Xenopus tropicalis: one gene and its partners. The protein of the gene in region 3 interacts with the protein of the main gene of each other region in a pairwise test. Links are inferred from orthologs where the notes say so. Each region holds a gene or a part of one and is shown on either strand. Other genes may lie near its edges.

Evidence for each region.
Region 1: the proteins of zhx1 (region 3) and ube2i interact in a two-hybrid assay, tested with the Homo sapiens proteins (2 studies listed by BioGRID and IntAct). The link is inferred for Xenopus tropicalis from reciprocal best matches to the Homo sapiens genes ZHX1 and UBE2I.
Region 2: the proteins of zhx1 (region 3) and zmynd11 interact in a two-hybrid assay, tested with the Homo sapiens proteins (2 studies listed by BioGRID and IntAct). The link is inferred for Xenopus tropicalis from reciprocal best matches to the Homo sapiens genes ZHX1 and ZMYND11.

What each region holds. Positions count from the first base shown.
Region 1 is NC_030685.2:28,773,312-28,777,597, forward strand, and holds the end of ube2i (SUMO-conjugating enzyme UBC9), read right to left. Parts: intron 2,928-4,286; coding exon 2,818-2,927; intron 2,727-2,817; coding exon 2,647-2,726; intron 1,460-2,646; coding exon 1,396-1,459; 3' UTR 501-1,395; downstream 1-500. UniProt on the Homo sapiens protein: Accepts the ubiquitin-like proteins SUMO1, SUMO2, SUMO3, SUMO4 and SUMO1P1/SUMO5 from the UBLE1A-UBLE1B E1 complex and catalyzes their covalent attachment to other proteins with the help of an E3 ligase such as RANBP2, CBX4 and ZNF451.
Region 2 is NC_030682.2:18,849,523-18,853,022, reverse strand, and holds part of zmynd11 (zinc finger MYND domain-containing protein 11), read right to left. Parts: intron 1,538-3,500; coding exon 1,445-1,537; intron 1,152-1,444; coding exon 1,064-1,151; intron 1-1,063. UniProt on the Homo sapiens protein: Chromatin reader that specifically recognizes and binds histone H3.3 trimethylated at 'Lys-36' (H3.3K36me3) and regulates RNA polymerase II elongation. Does not bind other histone H3 subtypes (H3.1 or H3.2).
Region 3 is NC_030682.2:139,794,573-139,798,690, reverse strand, and holds the start of zhx1 (zinc fingers and homeoboxes protein 1), read left to right. Parts: upstream 1-1,318; 5' UTR 1,319-1,453; exon of another isoform or gene 1,454-1,805; intron 1,806-4,118. UniProt on the Homo sapiens protein: Acts as a transcriptional repressor. Increases DNMT3B-mediated repressive transcriptional activity when DNMT3B is tethered to DNA. May link molecule between DNMT3B and other co-repressor proteins.

The DNA.
Region 1 (4,286 bases), on a different chromosome or scaffold from region 3:
CCTCTGGGTTGCTATTAGGCAACATTCTAGAGTGTGAAAACAGGCCTAATCTTGGCTTGTGGTGGGGTCAGTTTTTCCAATTAGAGGGGTAACTGAAGTGGAGCTAATGCTTCATGGGACAGTAAATAGCTGTTCAGGAACATAAGAAAGGTGCAGATTATCAAAATGTGTGTTTTTATATGTGTTCCCCTTTACATGTGAATTGTAGGGATTAATACGAGAGCATGCATCTATGAAGTGGCACTTTTAATGGAAGATCTTGCTGGAGACCCTTAGTCCTGATAGAACAATTACCCTTTCCCAGGATTCCACACTGCTTTGGCCCCCGTTCGAATGGAAGTTCTGGCAAAACAACAACACTGTAAATAAATAAGGAAGACCAAGTGTTTATTAACAAATGTCACTTCCAATGGACTTGTTTTATTTGCATTATTATTTCGTGTAGTACATTGCTCATACGAAAGCAGGATCTATAAACAAAGATCATTATACTTACCAGGTTTTTTGGTTTACTGCTAACTGTTTTATTTAAATCTGCATTTCAGATTACAAGACAACAGTACGTTAGCCAACTACATCAAGATGCCAGGGCTACAATCGTTTTGCTCATCCTTTTCACGGCGCAGCAAGAATAGAACAGTTATAAAAAGTTCTTTTATATATATATATATGTACAGATTTCACACAAAAAATAAAAATGTCACAATGTCAGTTTACAAGCCTGAACACTTCTGCTTTGTGGTCCTCTTAATGAAAAAGATAAAGAAACAAAAACTTTATATAAACAGTTTATTTAATCTAAACAGCAACACAGACAAAACGCCATATAAACAAAGGAAGTGATGCAGAAGCAAGATGCTGACTGACATTGAATCTCTGAGGCTCTAGGTTGAGGTGCAACCTAGTTTCTTAAAGACGTAAAAAGAAATTTGGGGTAGGGGAGGGGGTGGAATTTATGACATTGTTCTTAATACAGCCAGCTAGAGGCTAGATATAGTTCTAAACATTTGAAAGCATGCCTGCATCAGATAGCAAAGGAAAACTAGAGATTACTAGTGAATTTATAGAAGTATAAAAGTTTTATCATTTTACAGCAGTTGAAATACTGACATCAATATTAAAATAAAAGCAAGTTTTACATCATAACAATCAAAATACAAAAAGACTGAAGGAAGAGACCCTGTATGAAAAAACTGGGGGGGATATTCAGCAAATTTAGAACTCTATACAAGTGGCGGAAATGGAAAATGGCACACATACGACCCCCTCCCCTAAGTGAGAGTTTCAATTCTATTTAGCATCATTCAATTTTTGCAAAAAAAATTGTTTTTTTGTAAACAAGTTCTTGCCAAACCAATCCCTTCCTTTTATTTTAAGATGCTGCAAGGTTGAAGTTTATGATGGCGCGAACTTCTTGGCTTGTGCTCTGACTCTTTTTTCATATTCAACTCTGTTTTGGCTGTGGGAGGGAGATAAAAAAAAAAAAAAAGAATCAAGACAAATTTCCCAGGCTATACTCTACCTGGTCACCCATATGCCCTACCCTTAAACTAAATCCCTTTGTTCAGTCAATTTAATGACTTGCCCAACTTTGCCTGCACATTCTGTGAGTTGCCATCCATGGAAGCCTGTCTATACAGGGTATCAGAAAATGTCCTCTGTGAGGTGGAGTCCATCTTTGGCTTCCTGACAGGTCATGTCCCAAACCTCATGTCCCCCTGAATATACAGTATATTATACATACACACACACACACACACACACACACACACACACACACACACAAGTATGTGAGGTAATAAATAAAATACCCATTGTAAAATATGAGGATATCATAAGTCCCTTCTGAGTTCCATTGGACCTATGGGGGGGGGGGGGGGGGGCTATACCTGGGCCTCTGTGTACTTTAAAGGAAATGTCAACCCTAAAGATATTTTTTTTTCATAATAAAAGAAAAAACATAATTCTAAGCAACTTTCCAATAACAATGTATTAAAAAATATCAGTGCTTTAAATGGTTTTTTTGTAAATGTAATTGCTACAGAAAGCAGCATTTGCTGAACTCCCGGTTGTTACTTTTTAAACAATGTTGCGAGTGCCAGGCTCCTCCAGCAAGACAGGTCTGTAAAATCTGCTGCCGTTTGTTACATTGTTTTAAACACCAGAGCCACCAGGGAATAGAAAAGCACTGACCAACACTACTTCTAATAGCAGCTATATATACAAATAACTCAAAAACCATTACAAATATGTAATGAATGTATATTTCAAAGTTACTTAGAATTAAGTTTTCCTTTATTAGGCAAAACATTTTTGGGGTTGACATGTCCTTCAAATGCCAGGGCCTATTTTGAATCCTTGCCCAGACCTGGTGTCAGCTTAGGTAGGACTAAAATGGCAAGCTTGATAAGCCTGGGTGAACAAAGCTACTGGAAAAAAAAACTCAGTTCTCAATATTAGAGTAGTGAAATACAATGTGAATGCAAAAAAATTATAGCAGCCCTTTAAATGTCAAATAGACAGTATTAAAGCTAGCATCAAGTACAGTGATTTGTTTGCCTGTAAAGGGTAACATTACTACAGAAGAGGGGACATATACACAGCCCCTATCCCAGCCAGAAAAATGCCCCATACATAAACACTAACCAGTAAATTGTGTATGCCTCTGCTTGAGCTGGATCTTGTATATTTGGTTCATTTAGAAGTTCTTGTATTCCTAACAAGATCTTTATATAGAAAAAAAAAAGAGAAAGTTAATTGCAGAACACAAACTGTTCAGTATTATACAGAAGGACAGGAATCTGCACTTTATGATACCTGTTTAATTGTGATTGCTGGCCTCCAATCCTTATCTTCTTCTAAGATAGACAGACACACTGTGCCTGAAGGATAGACATTCGGGTGAAAAAGGGGTGGCTCAAATTTACCTGTGGAAAATGCAAGAAATCAGCATAGCACTGCCAACTGTACTGCAGAATAACAGGGCTTCTTTAACCACAAAGGCATTGGAAAGCAAGGCTCTAATTGCTTAGGGAAGGATCAGGCAAAAATCAACTGACACTGTTCTGGAGTGGGTGCATAGTGGAGTAGTGGGTTCTCCAGGTTATTGTAACCCTTACTGGTGGGATTAATATTGCTCAGTGCCGGCCAGTCCCACTCCCATCTAAACAAACTCATTCAGTATGGCCCTTTGTGCATAGCAGCATTATTGTGCTGAAACAAAAGTCAGCCCTACCGTTGGCATATATGATTTAAGCTGGTTGTCTCCTCCTGGTATCTGCCATATTTGGACTTTCCCCATCAGACTGCCAGCTGGTGAAACGCCATCTCTTACTTCAGCAGATCTGGGAGCTATATGCCACTAGCTGGCACTTGGCACTGCACACAGATGTTAGGTTTGTTTCCCTCTGATTAGCCACACAATAGTCAGCATGGGTCCTGAGCTTCATCTAAAGCACACACCTTCACAAAGTTAGGCAGAGAGGCCATTTACTAGATATGTTCTTTATGAAGCAAGCCTATACATATTGGCACAAGGAGCTATTTGAGCACCATATTGCATCCCTATTAAATAGCGAAATTCCAGAGAAGGGCAATTAAGCACATATAGGGTATGTAAAGACTCCGTTATGTGGAAAGACTGGCCAAGGTGCAAATAGAAGTCCTTAAGGGGGAATATGAGAACTATGTATGAATATATAAGGGCACTATAATCTCTCGAATGCTTTATTTACCAGTAGATCCTTCCATCTATATATACTATATATACTGGAAAAACTTATTGACTCGAGTATAAGCCGAGGGAAATGCAGCCACTACTGCAAGTTGGAGTGATATCACCCCCCTCCCAGCAGCCAATTAGCAGAACAATGTGAAGCATCAAGATAGCAGCTCCCACTATATATCAGAATAGCACTAAATAGTGAGAAATCCAAGTCCAGCTTGGGACTCCTCCAATTACATGGGAGTAGGAGAAACAATAGGTTAGCTGAAAGCAGTTCTAATGTGTAGCGCTGGCTCCTTCTGAAACCTCAGACTCAGCTCCCTTTGTTTGGCAAACCTTCACTCCTGTGTTAGTGCCTCATAAAATTCTGACTTCACTGTAGGCTAGTATTGAGTCCCAATGGGCTTTTTTTGCCATCCCAGATTACTGCCCGCTCACTGCCACCTGAGGCAAGGTTCTTACTTTGCCTTATGGCAAGAGCGGCCCTGACCTTAAGGCAATGGTATGTTTCAACAACTCAGTTCAAAATTAGCTCAGAAATCTTCTGCACCTCTGAATATAC
Region 2 (3,500 bases), about 120 Mb from region 3:
GAAAAAATGTATATAGAAAATACAGCCCTTACTGAAAGTTGTGACATTTGGATGAGAACTTAGTTTTAATTTACTGATTACACTGGCTGTGATGTTATAACTGGTTATAGTAAATCTGCTTTAAGGATTAAGTGGCACCATAATCAGTTAGAGTCAATCCAGTATGCAGTAGTCGATCAGCCACAGTGCTTTTGGGCCACCTGCAATATTGTCTTTGGGGCTAATATACTGCATGTTCAATGAGCCCCTAACATGGCAATGTTTAGCTATTGCTGCTCCTTATTGGACCAATTTATATGTGATACCTGTTTAAGTATATTCTAAGTATTATTCTATCCAATCAAAAAAAAATAATATATATATATATATATATATATATATATAAGAAGAACCATAGAGGAGCACTCCCAAAACTGATGTAGCAACTTCCCCAGGTGCTGGTAAATATGTTAAATAGAAAAACATAGTACCACACTCAATGGCAATACTTGTGAAAGATCAAAATTTATTGAATTTTTTTCAATAAATTTTGAGTTTGCACAAGTATTCCAGTTGAGGGCAGTACTATGCTTTTCTATTCTATACACATATGTGTTTGTCTTCTTTCTGTTAAGACCTTGAATGTCTCTGCCTGCCTTCATTTCATTCTAGTATCCAACATATACGGGTATGGAACCTGTCATCCAGAGAAAAGGGAATCATTTAACCATTAAATAAACCCAATAGGGCTGTTCTGTCCCCAATAAGGGGTAATTATATCTTAGTTGGGATCAAGTACAGGTACTGTTTTATTATTACAGAGAAAAAGGGAATCATTTAAACATGAAATAAACCCAATAGGATTGTTCTGCCCCCAATAAGAGGTCATTCTATGGGATCAAATAGAATGAATAGAACATGGGTAGGTTTTCATTTATTAAGCTCTAAACTCACATTTTATAAATCTGCCCAATAGTTACAAATGAATGAAATGATAATTGTATGCAGAAACCTGTAGAATTTTGCACTTCTTGGACATACCCCATGTTTTACTTAAAATGCCAAGACAACATTATATAATTACCTCCATAAAAAATAATTGTGTTGTGTAGAAGTAGCTGTGCATCCGCCTTGAACTCGTCGTAACTCTTGTATTTTCCTTCAGTCACTTTCTGCACAAAACAGGAATTTCGAGGAAGAAAGGTTAAGGGAGGGAGACTGCAGGCATTTTATCTACAGTGCAAAATCTGGCAATCTCTCTATGTACCACGGTTCTTATACTGCAACTGTCCTTACCTTTTTGTTAATAGGAGCACAATAAAAAGGAAATAATCTGTAGAAGACTGTTGTAGTAGCAGCCAAAAGTGCCTATACCTCCACAGTAACTGCTTAAGCCTTATTCTGCTATAATGTTAGTTTTATTCCACAAAACAAAATGTAAAGCACCAGTGTACACAACATTTACCTCATTAATAGTAGAAACATCAATGGTGGTATGAACTAAACGTCTATACATCGGATGCTTGCTATCCTTTCCTTTTTTATTGAGTTCAATCGCCTACAAAAATAAAGGGAATGATTTGTTTTTGAGATACAGAATGTACATACAATTTCAGGCATTTAGGTACATATAAAGCTAGAATACATAGCTTTGATTCATACCACTGCTCTTCCAGCCTTACGGCAGTCTAGAAGCTGAAAAGACTTACCCCCCATACGTACTAAAAGGCACAAAGTTTGCCGAGAAGCAGTAACCCATACAACGAATAAGATGCTAACTTTTTAAACAAATTATCCGAAAATGCTACCTGTTGATTGGTTGCTATAGGTGATAAGAAGTGTAGAAAACTTTGCTTCTGATATTACATTACCTCTCACAAACAGGCACTAAGTGTGGATTTTAGCAAAATACATTCGGAATATCCACCTGTTACACTACAGGATTTGGTTCAGGATTTGGGCAAGATTTGGCCTTTTCCAGCAGGGTTCAGCCATGCTCCTGGCCGAACCAAATCCTAAATATCACGTGACTTTTTTTTAACACAATAGCTGAAAGTTTTTCACTAAGTGCTGTTCATGGTCTCTTTAACCCTTCCTTTGCTAATTTACATATGCAAATTCGGATTCGGTTCAGTATTTGGCCGAATCTTTCACCAAAGATTTAGGGTTCAGCTGAATCCCAAAATTATGTATTCGGTGCATCCCTAATTTTAGATTTAGAACTTTAAAGACATATTCATCTGTACATGGACTTTTAGTAAGATTTGCAACTGGACTTTTTTTTTTTGGTTTTCAGATTATTTCTGATCACCTAAGGTGGGCGATATCTGATGGGAACAGAACCCATTGGTGTGAGGACCGCATCAATGAGTCGATGCAGCCCCCGATTCCAGAGGAAAATCAAACCTGCCTGATCAATATCTTCCCAATTATAGGCCAGATATTGGTCGGGTAGGCCTGTTGGGGGTGCCCATACTTGGGAAGATAAGATGCCGAACCGGTCTGAATTACCTGAATTAGCAGCTTAAATTTGCCCATGTATGGCCACCTTATCTTATTATTGGTATCAGCCAGTGGTTTGAATTACAGACTGGAAAATGAATAGTTAAGGGTTAAGATACAAAAGCAATAATATGACCCCAAACAAGAATTTCTGTTTTTTGAAAGGAACATATTTGTTTGAAAAGTGCAGAAACTTTGCTCTTGCTGTAATGGAAGTTATAATTATTTGCTGTATTAGAATGCAGATAACTGTTTCAGTTTACACTTGGTCATGCCTCCATTGCTTGTGGGAGCTGAGTTAGATAGTTTAGTCAGATGATTGAATTCTCTGTATTATGACCCTCAAATAATTTAGCCCAATTCCTGTGATTTCTCACTGTTGTAGTTCTGGAAAAAGTTGTGGCTAATAAATACTCCTGATGACACTAGCATTAAAAATAATATAAGCTGTATTTATTTGGCTCATTATACTGTAGGTGTGTATATAAATGGGGGGAACATTTAAAATCATTTTTAGTATGTTAGTAGGGAGTAGTATTCTCAGAATTTGTTTTCATTTATTGTTTTTGTGGATTTTTTTATTTTCAATTCTATGTGTTTATTGAATTACTCATCTTTTTGGTCTGAAGCTCTCCCCCTGTTAGGGTCCCACAGACCATAGCAACCTGGCAGGTGAACAGGGGAAGTGCTGAATTAAAAGAATTGCAATAAAAATCTAGCCTTAGATGAATTCAACTGATTTCTAGTTGTCGAGGTCCACCAAAAAAGCATTTTCATGTTCACATTTGGAAAGAGCAGAAGAAAATAAAATAATTATTAAAAAGAATAGAGACAACAGACTGCAAATTGACTGAGGATACCAATGTCAACCACCTGCAAGCACTAAAAGTAGATGAACTCCCAAGTTTATTTGTGCTAGTTTCTTCCGTTAATGCCATCATGATATACATTATCAGCATCATTCATTTGAATATAATGCTATTAAAGTGTTCTTTTCCCATTTTTAATGCAGATTAAAC
Region 3 (4,118 bases):
GCTGTCCCGGATAGTTCCATGAATGTCCCGCATTGCGGGACATTCATGGAATTATCCGGAACAGCGGGATACGCTTGCTGTAGCTGGATGTTCTTGCTTCTTCTGCAGCTTCGTTATGCGGCTCCTTGTGCAGAGGGACAGGCCCTTTTATAAGGTTGCGCCTGTGGGTGTGACGTCATTACGCACGGGGCCAACCTTATAAAAGGGCCTGTCCCTCTGCACAAGGAGAGCCATAACGAAGCTGCAGATGAAGGCTGCGCCTATGGGAGGTACTGTGAATGGGGGGCTACTGTGATAGGGGGACACTGTGTATTGGGGGACACTGTGTATTGGGGGGTACTGTGTATTAGGGGCTACTGTGTATAGGGGGCACTGTGTATGGGAGCTACTGTGTATAGGGGGACACTGTGTATTAGGGGCTACTGTGTATGGGAGCTACTTTGTATTGGGGGCTACTGTGTATGGGGGGGGCTACTGTGTATGGTGGGGCAAAACTGGTACTTAGTTATAACTCACTTATAACTGACTGCCTTCTCTCTATACTTGTATTTTAATGTAGGAGTTGCTATATTGTTTTCCTTAGGTCGTTCAGTATGAGGGTATAGCACATTTTCATCTGCGCCCGCCATTTGATCTATATAAAAGGGGTATTTTTTTTAAATGGGGTGTGGCAATTGGGGCGTGGCCAATAAAAAATTTTTTGTCCCTCTTTTCATTTTTCAAATGTTGGGAGGTATGATAAACAATAACCATGACTTTCCATGAATGTAAGTCATTTACTAAAATATCCAAACTGAAAAAGCATGAATGATAAAAAGTTGCTACAAAAAGCAAAAAAGGCCAAAAAAAAACTCTAAAACCATGAAGCAAAGAAAGCTTGAAAATTTGTCATTGAACTCCACAATCCCAAGTTTGTAGCTGATGTGTAAGATTGTTACTGTAACATACTGTTCAATAAACCTGAAATAGAAAAATGACTTCACTTGCACAAAACCTCCATTTTTGTTAAAATACGGAGAGAGGGTTCGAATAGCGGAAGCGACTGTGGACAACCTGGAAATAGATATTTTTTTTTTTTTTAATATCCTGGAATTGGTCGGAACTCTGAAGAGAAAATATAAATGGCTTCTACGGAAACATGGAGCTGAGGGGCTGGCGGGCAAGATAAGAAACCTACACGGAAAACAAATATTTTATTATTTTCTTTTTGTTCTCTAACTAAAGCGGGAGGCGGGGGCTGAGGCAAAACGGATTGTGAGGTGAGTAACCGCGGCTTACTACCGATTGTGTAAGTCTCAGTTACGCTGGATGGCCACACCCACAAGGCGGCTACGTCGTGCGTCACGGCGCTTTCCGAGCAGCCAGATCTCGCGAGATGAGACGTGCGGCCTCGGGATTTCCTGGCAGCCAGGAGGCTGGGAGCCTGCACTTAACAGTTTTGCAGGAGATGCAGGTAGCGTTCCGGGAGTGCGGGCTGTGCTAGGGAGAGTGGGGCTGGCGGGCAGTGTAGGGGGAACAACATGCCGGGGACTCTAGCAACTACTGTCCCTGCAGGTTACTGGCAATAGGGGGTCCGGTAATGTAAATAGGTCCAGCACAGCCGAGCCCCCCTACAACCTCAAACCCTCCCCCCCTGATGGCGACTCGGTGTGGGGCAGTCACTGCCCTGCTGGGCCAGTTATATAGCCAGTTATATAGCCCTTACTGACTGGCCTCCATCTCCCTAGGAAGCAGCACAGCAGCTCTACCCTCTCTGTAATGGCTCTGTCCCACTGCTGCAATACACACGGATATCAGTCCCTCAGGTGAGCTGCTTCTTACTGTGCAACACAGAATCTTATTGGTTATAAAACGCACAATTTAGGGAGTCATGTGATGCCAATGACGTCACTCAGCTGTATGGGTGATGACATCACTCTGTGCCCAAATACACACACACATATATATATATAGCTTTATAGATAGATATCTGAACTCCTCCCTGCACCCAGCAGGAGATTCATTGCTATATATATATCATTTATATGTGATTTTATTTTTTTTATTTGCATGATCTCTGCGTGTTCATGAATTAGAGTGCAGTGCTGTTTTCCCTATGTTTTATTCCTGACTGGAAAATATTTGGCCAAACTGGGCAGAGCTGTTGGAGGGACCCATACACTGGCCAGTAAGCCGACGGCCGAATCCCCGGGATTTATCGGCCGGTGTATGGGCCCCCCATGGCAGTTTGTTTTGGCCCATCATGGGATCGTTCCTGATTGCAGAGAGATATATAGAATCTGCACTTGCAGGTCTTTTATGAAACAGGACATATTTGCTTCCCAAGTTGTCACATAATGGTTTCACCCTTTGTGGAGAGGAAGGCGCCATTATGTCACTGAATTGTTGGAACACAAAATAAACCACCTGTCCCTGTTTTATAGAAGGGCTGTGAGTGCAGCGTTTGGTTTATTTACTTTATCCTGCTTTGTTTCTAACTGGTACCCGGGCGTTGTTTCCAGCTGGTACCCGGGCCTTGTTTCCAACTGGTACCCGGGCGTTGTTTCCAGCTGGTACCCGGGCCTTGTTTCCAACTGGTACCCGGGCCTTGTTTCCAACTGGTACCCGGGCCTTGTTTCCAACTGGTACCCGGGCGTTGTTTCCAACTGGTACCCGGGCGTTGTTTCCAACTGGTACCCGGGCGTTGTTTCCAGCTGGTACCCGGGCCTTGTTTCCAGCTGGTACCCGGGCCTTGTTTCCAGCTGGTACCCGGGCGTTGTTTCCAACTGGTACCCGGGCGTTGTTTCCAGCTGGTACCCGGGCGTTGTTTCCAGCTGGTACCCGGACGTTGTTTCCAGCTGGTACCCGGGCCTTGTTTCTAGCTGGTACCCGGACGTTGTTTCTAACTGGTACCCGGGCCTTGTTTCCAACTGGTACCCGGGCGTTGTTTCCAACTGGTACCCGGGCGTTGTTTCCAGCTGGTACCCGGACGTTGTTTCCAGCTGGTACCCGGGCCTTGTTTCCAACTGGTACCCGGGCGTTGTTTCCAACTGGTACCCGGGCGTTGTTTCCAACTGGTACCCGGGCCTTGTTTCCAACTGGTACCCGGGCCTTGTTTCCAACTGGTACCCGGGCCTTGTTTCCAACTGGTACCCGGGCCTTGTTTCCAACTGGTACCCGGGCCTTGTTTCCAACTGGTACCCGGGCCTTGTTTCTTGAAATTACAAAGCGCTGTCTTCCCTGTTTAGATGTACTGTATAGACACTGTATATGGCGATCAGGACAAATGAAAATCTTCATGGACACGAGTCCCATTTATAACAAATTATATATATATATTTGCAAACTTCAGGGCCTCATTTTGTCTATGTAGTGATTTCCCCAGCATGCTAAAACCTTAGGCTAATGTCACATTTGGTTCTATGATATCAGTGGCATCCGTCTGTCACTGTGAATGTGGGTCAGATTTCAACTCAAAACTACTTGTGTGTATATCAGAAGGGGTTATAAAAACAATCAACGCACCAGAGGCCCCCCCTATAGATTAGAGGAACGGAGCTTCCATTTCAAGCAGCGTCAGGGGTTCCTCACGGTGAGGGCAGTGAGGTTGGGGAATGCCCTTCCTAGTGATGGGGTAATGGCAGATTCTGTTAATGCCTATAAGAGGGGCCTGGATAAGTTCTTGAACAATCATAGTATCCAAGGCTATTGTGATACTAATATCTACAGTTAGTATTGATGTCCAAGTGGGATGTTAGCCTTAAAGGGGTTGGTCACCTTAAAATTAAGTTTTAGTATGACAGGCATTGATTTGCAGTTGGTTTTCATTTTTTGTGGATTTTCAGTTATTTAGTTCCGCAGCTCTTCAGTTTGGCATTTCAGTAGCTATCAAGTTTTTAGGGTTTTGTTTACCTTAGCAACCAGGCAGTGGTCTGAATTAAAGACTGGAATATGAACAGCAGAGGGACGGAATAGAAAGATAAGAAATAAAAAGTAACACTAATAAAATGGTAACCTCACAGAGCAATAGTTGCTTGGCTGCTGGGGTCAGTGACCCCCCCACTGGAAAGATGTAGAAGAGAAATAATTAAAAAATATATATAAAGAATAAGTACTAACATACTAAAAGTTAACTTAAA